2 linked regions of the Macaca fascicularis genome follow. The protein of the gene in region 1 purifies or fractionates together with the protein of each later gene. This does not show direct contact. Links are inferred from orthologs where the notes say so. Each region holds a gene or a part of one and is shown on either strand. Other genes may lie near its edges.

Region 1 (3,646 bases):
AATTATCTGGGGGTGTTGGTGGGCACCTGAGGCAGGTGGATCCCTTGAATCTGGGAGCAGAGGTTGCAGTGAGCCGAGATCGTGTCACTGCACTCCAGCCTGGGCAATAAGAGTGAGACTCTGTTGCAAAACAACAACAACAACAACAACAACAAACATGGTTTAAACAACTGGCATGGAGAGATACATCCTGCTCTTCCTCACAGTGGACCCATTGGTATAGTTGGTTAGAAACATTTAAGGCCCTAAGACGAGGATTCCTACTAAGTGGCTCTATCTGTTCTTCAAGTGGGCACCTACGTACAGGATGGATCGGAACCACAGAGGCCTCTGTGTCATTGTCAACAACCACAGCTTTATCTCCCTGCGGGACAGACGAGGAACCCATAAAGATGCTGGTAAGAAAGTCTAGCATAGTTTATCAAGTGCAAATTGGGGATCTTAAAATTATTTTTTATTTTCACATTTTTTTCTGTGACTTTTATTTTCCATATATGTGTAAGGATGATTATTATGTTTCTGAGCCTCTTGTATATCCCTGGGGCATCACCCAGTCTGCTAAAGAGTAGCAAGAGTCTTTGACTATTCACAATTCTGAATAGAGGAGAGCGTGTACTGGGGGAGAGCATGCTGGACTGGCACGAGACAACCTGGGTGTGAGCTCCAACTCCACCACTAACTAGGTGTGTGATCATGGGAGAGTCAAGAGACCTCAGCTTCTTCAACTGTGAAACAGATGAAATGAAACACTGGCCACTGCCAATTCTCAGGACTGTTGTGACAACACTGGGTATTACATGATAGGAGATTCATTGTAAGATTTTATGGTTATGAAAATAAAAATAATCCAAAGCTTTAGGCTATTTGCTGTGCAATTTTTGTAACTATTAGCATCATTTCATTTTTTTTTTTTGGAGACATAGTCTTGCTCTGTTGCCCAGGCTGGAGTGCAGTGGTGTAGTTGCAGCTCACTGCAACCACTGCCTCCCAGGCTCAAGCCATTCTCATGCCTTAGCCTCCCGAGTAGCAGGGATTACAGGCGTGAGCCACCACACCTGGCTAATTTTTGTATTTTTAGTAGAGATGGTGTTTTGCTATGTTGGCCAGACTGGTCTCAAACTCCTGACCTCAAGTGATCCACCTGCCTCGGCCTTCCAAAGTGCTGAGATTACAGGTGTGAGCCACTGCACCCGGCCTTGTTTAAGTTCTTCCTTTTGTTTTGCATCATTTTTTTATTTCCCCTTTCTCTCTCTCTCTCTCCTTTTTTTTTTCTTTTTTAAACAGAGATCCTGAAGGGTGTGTTCCAGTGGCTTGGGTTCACAGTGCATATATACAATAATGTGACGAAAGGGGAAATGGAGGAGGTCCTGCAGAAGGAGAAGTGCAATCCAGCCCATGCCGACGGGGACTGCTTCGTGTTCTGTATTCTGACCCATGGGGAAGACGGAGCTGTCTACTCTTCGGATGAGGCCCTCATTCCCATTCGGGAAATCATGTCTCACTTCACAGCCCTGCAGTGCCCTGGACTGGCTGAAAAACCTAAACTCTTTTTCATCCAGGCCTGCCAAGGTGAAAAGATACAGCTTTCCAAATCCATCGAAGCAGATGCTCTGAACCCTGAGCAGGCACCCACTTCCCTGCAGGACAGTATTCCCGTCGAGGCTGACTTCCTACTTGGTCTGGCCACTGTCCCAGGCTATGTATCCTTTCGGCATGTGGAGGAAGGCAGCTGGTATATTCAATCTCTGTGTAATCATCTGAAGGTCTTGGTCCCAAGGTGAGAGTTCTTTTTTTTCTTTCATTTTTAATTAATTAGTTTTATTTATTTTTTATTTTACTCTCATTCAACACCTTTGGTAAGGGTGAGAGTTCTAAATTGTTCTGTCCATGTACCTGTTCATCCATCTGCCTACCTTTCTGTTTATCTATTTATCCATCTATCCATCTATCCATCCATCCATCCATCCATCCATCCATCCATCCATCCATCCATCCATCCATCCATCTAGCAACCTTGTATTGAGTACCAGCCTGGACCTGGAAAGGAAGATAAAGTTAAAAAAAAGACAGGGTCATTGCCCTCAGGTTGCTTATAAGCTAGAGGGATAGACAAACAGACGGGGAAGGGCATCCCCAGCTGGTAAGTGCACATTGTGAAGTATAGGTGTTACGGGAACATGCAGAATGACTACCTTGCCCAGATTTGAAGGATGAGAGGAAGCTTCTAGAAATGACAAATAGATGTTAGGTAAAGAATCAGGTGAAAGATATGCTGGGCAGAGGGAGTAGTGTGAACAAAAGCATGGGGGCCTTTTATTTGTTCCTTTGTTTATTTATCACTCACTCCTATTTCCTGAGCACTTATGTGCTATCTTTGGCATTCTATTTGTCACTGCTCTGACAGATTGCCTTCTGTCTTTGCCACATGCTCTCCTCTTGGCAGCTTTAGCTATATCTAGAGGCCATGGGCACCTCCATGAAAACGTCTCCAAAGTTGCCATCTCTGGCCCACTCGTCTCTGAATTCCTGGGGGGCAGAGACCCTGTTTCATTTAACTTTATATCCTCAGCCCCTGACCTGATATATTGTGAGCTTGTTAAACATTTGCTGGGCCAATGAATGACTTGCTTGAGCCCATCTCATTAACAGCCCGCTAGATATCCTACCTCTGTTTAGCCCTTGGACCTCACATTCAGCATACATGTTTCTGAGCTCATCTTCCCAGCCTTCTCCAGGAGCTCCTGAATTTCCATTTGAAGGAATGGCCGTAGTGCTCTTCTGGGAATTCAGGATTGGAGTCTTCAGTCAACTTTGCTTTTCTCTCTTCTTTACCAGCCCCTCCATCCTCATCACAGACATCAGAGGCTAATGTCTATGGCTTCAGTAACAAGGCAATATTTATTGAGGTCATACTATGTGCTTACTGTACTGGGTATCGAACTGGGGGCTGGAGGTGCAGCTGTGTACAAGAGAGACAAAATCTGCTCTCCAGGGAGCTAAAAGTCCAGTAAAGGAAGGACAGATAATAAAAATATGTGAATATTTAAATTATTATTATTTTAAAAATTCAACAATATTAAAAGGAGACAGTATACATGCATAATTAAGCAATGTCTGGTTTTTTTTTGGTACTCCAGAAATTTCTTTGTTATTTTTAATTAATACTTCATAACTACATATTTCAGGGTTATAATTTGATATTTCAATACATATATGTGTTGTATAATGATCAAATCAGGGTAGTGTATCCATCACCTCATGCATTTATCATTTCTTTGTGGTGAGAACCTCTAAAAGCCTCTCTTCTAGCTATTTTGTAATATACAACACCTTACTGATTGATCGATTGATTTAAATATGGGATCTCACCATGTTGCCCAGGCTGGTCTTGAACTTCTGAGCTCAAGCAATCCTCCTGCCTTAGCCTTATAAGTAGCTAGGATTGTAGGCTCAAGCCACAGTGCCCAACTCAGAATGCCTTACTGTTAACCATAGTCACCCCACTGTGCAACAGAACACCAGAGATTATTCCTCCTATCTAATTGTAACTTTGTACCCACTGACTAACCTCTCCTCATCTTCCCTTCCCTCCTTCCCTCTCATCTCCATAATTGCTGTTTTACTCACTGCTTCTACGATATCAACT
Region 2 (4,257 bases), on another chromosome or scaffold:
TTTACATGTATACTGGCTGAAACTAATGTTTAAACAGCACTTTTCTTTCAAATCTTTGTCAGTCTGGGTTTTTGTTAACTTTACTAATTTGATGAAAATTGGTGTTCCCTATTTTTAGTTTGCATCTCTTTTCTTATTAGTAAAGTTACTGATTTGATTTCCTTGTGATAATTTAACAATTTCTGGTTCATCTGGGTTGATCTAGAGAAGATAATTGCTTACTGGGGTAGATGGACATGACTCGTCTGGTCATTTGATTTTTAATCACTAAATTGACTCCAGAGAGGAGGTAAAAGATGAATGCTTAGGTACCTATCAGACCAGGCACATTCCACAGGTTTTCAAAATGATCTTATTTGAGACATCCTCCAGAGGCTTTATTTTTCTAGCAAATATTTCCACTCTGCTTGTGTACATATGGACTTTCTAACATTTAAGGATTAGGACACAGACTCAGGGGCCAGAGCTTCCCAACAGTGGCTCCTATAAGAACTTAACAGTCTAGGACAGTAGACAGGCGACTGGGTTGCCTGCAGTAGCCACATCCAGAGAAACTGAAACTTACTTCACTTAATAGATGGCCAGTGCTGCCTTCTTCTTTATTCTGAGTTTCTAAGGATGCGATCTATCTATAGTCTTTGCAGAGGTATCCTGCTTTTCCTCTATTTCTCACTCCATGCTCACTACAGAGAGACAGGAGTTTCCCTACTTCATGAGGCACCAGTCCAGTACCGGAAAGCCCTGTAGGTGACAAGGCATCAAGAGCCTGTGTTCCTTCTAGCCCCAGTTCCATACTAGGGGTCTTGGGCATATTCACCTAATCTGTCTGGCATTTTGTTTCTCTTCCAAAAAAATGAAATGGCTGGACTAGATATTCTAAGCTTCCTTCCAACTCTAAACCTTCAGTGAATCTCATTGTAAATCTAAATCTAAAATTTCAATGAATCTTAGGCTAGTGAAGCACATTGTAAAATCCATCTGTACAGAGCTTGCAAAACTATGCCCTGAAATTTCACGAGATCAGTGTTCCAACATATCGTCTTCTTGCCCTAGCTCCCATACAAAGGATTTTCCTTTGTGATCAAGGGTACCTCATGACTGCCTCTGAAGCTGAACATCCTTTGAATGATGGCTGAAGTCTTCCCTTCAGCTTCTCAGTGACTTCAAGAAAAACCATTCTAATGTACGGAATTGATTAGCCACATTTTAAAAGCTTACATCCTATAAAACATTTTATAAATAAAGTTTCACTGTGATCTCTTTAGAGGCTTTAAAAGAGGAGAGGACGTTTCTCAGAAACATCTGTCTCTGCCTTCACTTCGCCTTCTCTTCCCAGAAGTCATAGCCACTGGCATGTGTGCCAGGACCAGGGTGTCTGTGGAAGGGGACAGGCCTGGAACCACTGCTCAGGGGGCAAAAGTCCACGGTTGTATATGTGTGTCTCTTTCCAAAGTCAAGCGGAAGTGATTTTGAATTGTGTGCCGTGCTCAGCTATATTGATTGTGAGCAATTCAATTCACTTCACATTTTTAAAGCAGCTCAAGGAATCATACTGACCAGAGATTCCGAATTAGCCAGGATTCCTCTCATAGTATACATAAGCCAAAGTGTAGGACAGAATATAAGGCATTCCATTAACATATTTCAGTGCTGAGGATCACCTTTAGGAACTCAATGTACATGTGAAAAAGGACTCACCTATTTGCTTCTCCAAAGATGATGCTGTATGCTTCTGGCTGGTAGACTAGTAAAAGAGAAAGAAAAAAGATGCATAATAAAAATAAAATTATTTAAGCAAAAGAGACAGAATCGTCAAATAAACCAAGCCCTGGAAAGAGAATCCAAATACCTCAGAACTTTTGCTGACTCAGGCTTTGGTCAAGCAATTTTGCTTCACTGTCCCTCAGTTTTGTGATTTGAAATCGTACCAGTATTTTAAGTATTTTCAAGATTTAGTTTGGTCATCTGAACAAATTTACTTCCAAGCAAAACTTAAAAGTTTTGTTTGTTTTTTACTCCTTAAATCACTAGGTATGAGGCAGTAAGTGGTTCAACAGACTGAGTTGACAACTGAGGAAAGAAAAACTGTTGGGCTCTGATTCTTTACAAAATAAAAAATATTCCCTTCACTCCTATGAGCCTCCATTTCTCTGCCTATAGAATAGAATAACTAGAACAACCCATTTCTAAGAAAAAAAAAAAAGGATTGAAAAGCACTTTGCAAGCCAGGCAGTGGGCCCTCCACCCCCTTATGCCTGGTGCCTCCAGGGCACAGCAGTCTGCCAGCAGGCTTACCTCTCGGAGTTCTGCCAGCTCTTTCTGTAAGTGGAAGAGCTGAAACATCCCCAGTCCCAATCCTACCAAGGCAACCAGAACCATGAAAAACATCACAAGGAGACAAAGGCCTGTGCTGTGGTTTCCCCTCTTCTTCAAGGGTGGCAGCGGTAGTGGAGGCAGTGGTGATGGCGGTGGAGGTGGTAGTGGCGGCGGTGGCGGCGGTGGTGGTGGCCTCCTTTGACCAGGCCTTCTGGGCACAGAGGTTGGACAGGGAAGAACTGTGCCTGGAGGGGCCCAGGGAGAGCTGGCACTGCTGTCCACCCAGTAGATCTGGGGATATGGGTAATTGAAGGGCTGCTGCATGGCAGCCGGTGAGTCAGGCCAGCCCCAGCAAACGGTTTTACTTCTCAATCCTGTAGAGGCTGAGGTGTCAAGGACAGGACTCCTGTTGCTGACTGCTCAAGAGGAGGCAAGCTGGATCTCTCTTATAGAGTTTCCATAGCTAAGGGAAACACCTCTGTCTTTCTCTTTCTCTATGTCTCTCTCTGATTCTGCTTCTCAAAGAAACACCCACTCACTTTGCAGCTGAAGCTGAGAAGCCTCAAGAAGCTCAGAGCAAACCCCTGGAAGTTTCCGCCCACAATCTTCTGACGAAAGCCTTGGAAGCCTCAGTTGCTATCGCTGTACTACCCAAACAGGTTGGTAGGCTATGCTCACCTTCCTGGGATCCTGTAGAGCAGGTCAGCATTGGGGTAGAGCCCTGTTGGCGTGAACTGCTCCCAGCTACAGGAGAATGGCCAGTGGGGCTATAATTTTATGAATTATAATTGTATCCTTTTTTATACATTATAATTGTATAATGTTAAGAATTCTACCATGTATACGACCAAAAAACTATTTAAAAATACCAAAATACCTCTAACAAAAATTGTTCAGAACCATATTTTTTAAACTATAAAAATTTTACTGAAATTGGCTCTGAGGGGAGAGACCATGGAGCCATGGCCAGAGAAGTCACTCCCACATTTTAGTTTTTGCAGGAGGAAAACACCTGTTGCCATCATCGCTTCCCCACACACAACTACCATTTACCCTGACCTGCCAATCACCATAATTTACAGGTTAAAAAACCTGCTACACCCTCTTTAGAAATTAGATCAGAGGCTGCAAACAGTGGAACCCACAGAACTGCTTTGTATTTCACAATGTTTTCATTTTCATTGTTTGCCCAGCTTATTTATTTACGTATTTATTTAAATAGAGACAGAGTCTCACTCTGTCACCCAAGCTGGAGTGGAGTGGTGCTATCATAGTTAACTGCAGCCTCAAACTCCTGGGCTCAAGCAATCCTCTTGCCTTGGCCTCCTAAGTAGCTGGGATTATAGGCATGAGTCACTACACCTGACTAATTTATTTATTTATTTATTTTTGTAGAGATGGGGACTCGCTATGTTGCCCAGGCTTGTCTCAAACTCCTAGCTTCAAGACATCCTCCCACCTCAGTTTCCCAAAGTGCTGGAATTACAGTCATGAGCCACTGCACTCAGCCCAATTGACCACTTTTAATATCAATATTAAAAATATTTTAATATATATACATTTTAAATACACATTAAAATACATATTTTTGTTCTGTTTTGCAATATCAGAATATCAGACACCCTCGAGGCCATCTCTGCAAACCCAATCAGTGGGAAGTAGGTAGCAGCTGCTCCTGAGAATGAGCGACAGGTGTTCTGGGTCACCCAGCCTCCGCCAGCGGCCTGTGTCTCACACATCACCTCACCATCTGAAAGGCCTGCCTGGTCCTTGCCGATATTTCTGTGTCCTGTCCCTGTTATGGTTGCCAGATTAAATACATGGTGCCCAGTTAAATTTGAATTTCAGATAAATAATACATAATTTTTAGGACGAGTATGTCTTAAACACGTCCAAACATGGAATACACTAAACAATTATTCATCATATAACTGACATTCA

Evidence for each region. Proteins that work in one complex are often made in the same cells at the same time.
Region 2: the proteins of CASP10 (region 1) and FASLG purify together in Homo sapiens (co-immunoprecipitation; 3 studies listed by BioGRID and IntAct, with this or other methods). This does not show direct contact. The link is inferred for Macaca fascicularis from reciprocal best matches to the Homo sapiens genes CASP10 and FASLG.

The regions. Positions count from the first base shown.
Region 1 is NC_088386.1:96,978,628-96,982,273, forward strand, and holds part of CASP10 (caspase-10), read left to right. Parts: intron 1-289; coding exon 290-398; intron 399-1,284; coding exon 1,285-1,777; intron 1,778-3,646. UniProt on the Homo sapiens protein: Involved in the activation cascade of caspases responsible for apoptosis execution. Recruited to both Fas- and TNFR-1 receptors in a FADD dependent manner. May participate in the granzyme B apoptotic pathways.
Region 2 is NC_088375.1:30,264,116-30,268,372, reverse strand, and holds the start of FASLG (tumor necrosis factor ligand superfamily member 6), read right to left. Parts: upstream 2,861-4,257; 5' UTR 2,641-2,860; coding exon 2,296-2,640; intron 1,745-2,295; coding exon 1,699-1,744; intron 1-1,698. UniProt on the Homo sapiens protein: Cytokine that binds to TNFRSF6/FAS, a receptor that transduces the apoptotic signal into cells. Involved in cytotoxic T-cell-mediated apoptosis, natural killer cell-mediated apoptosis and in T-cell development.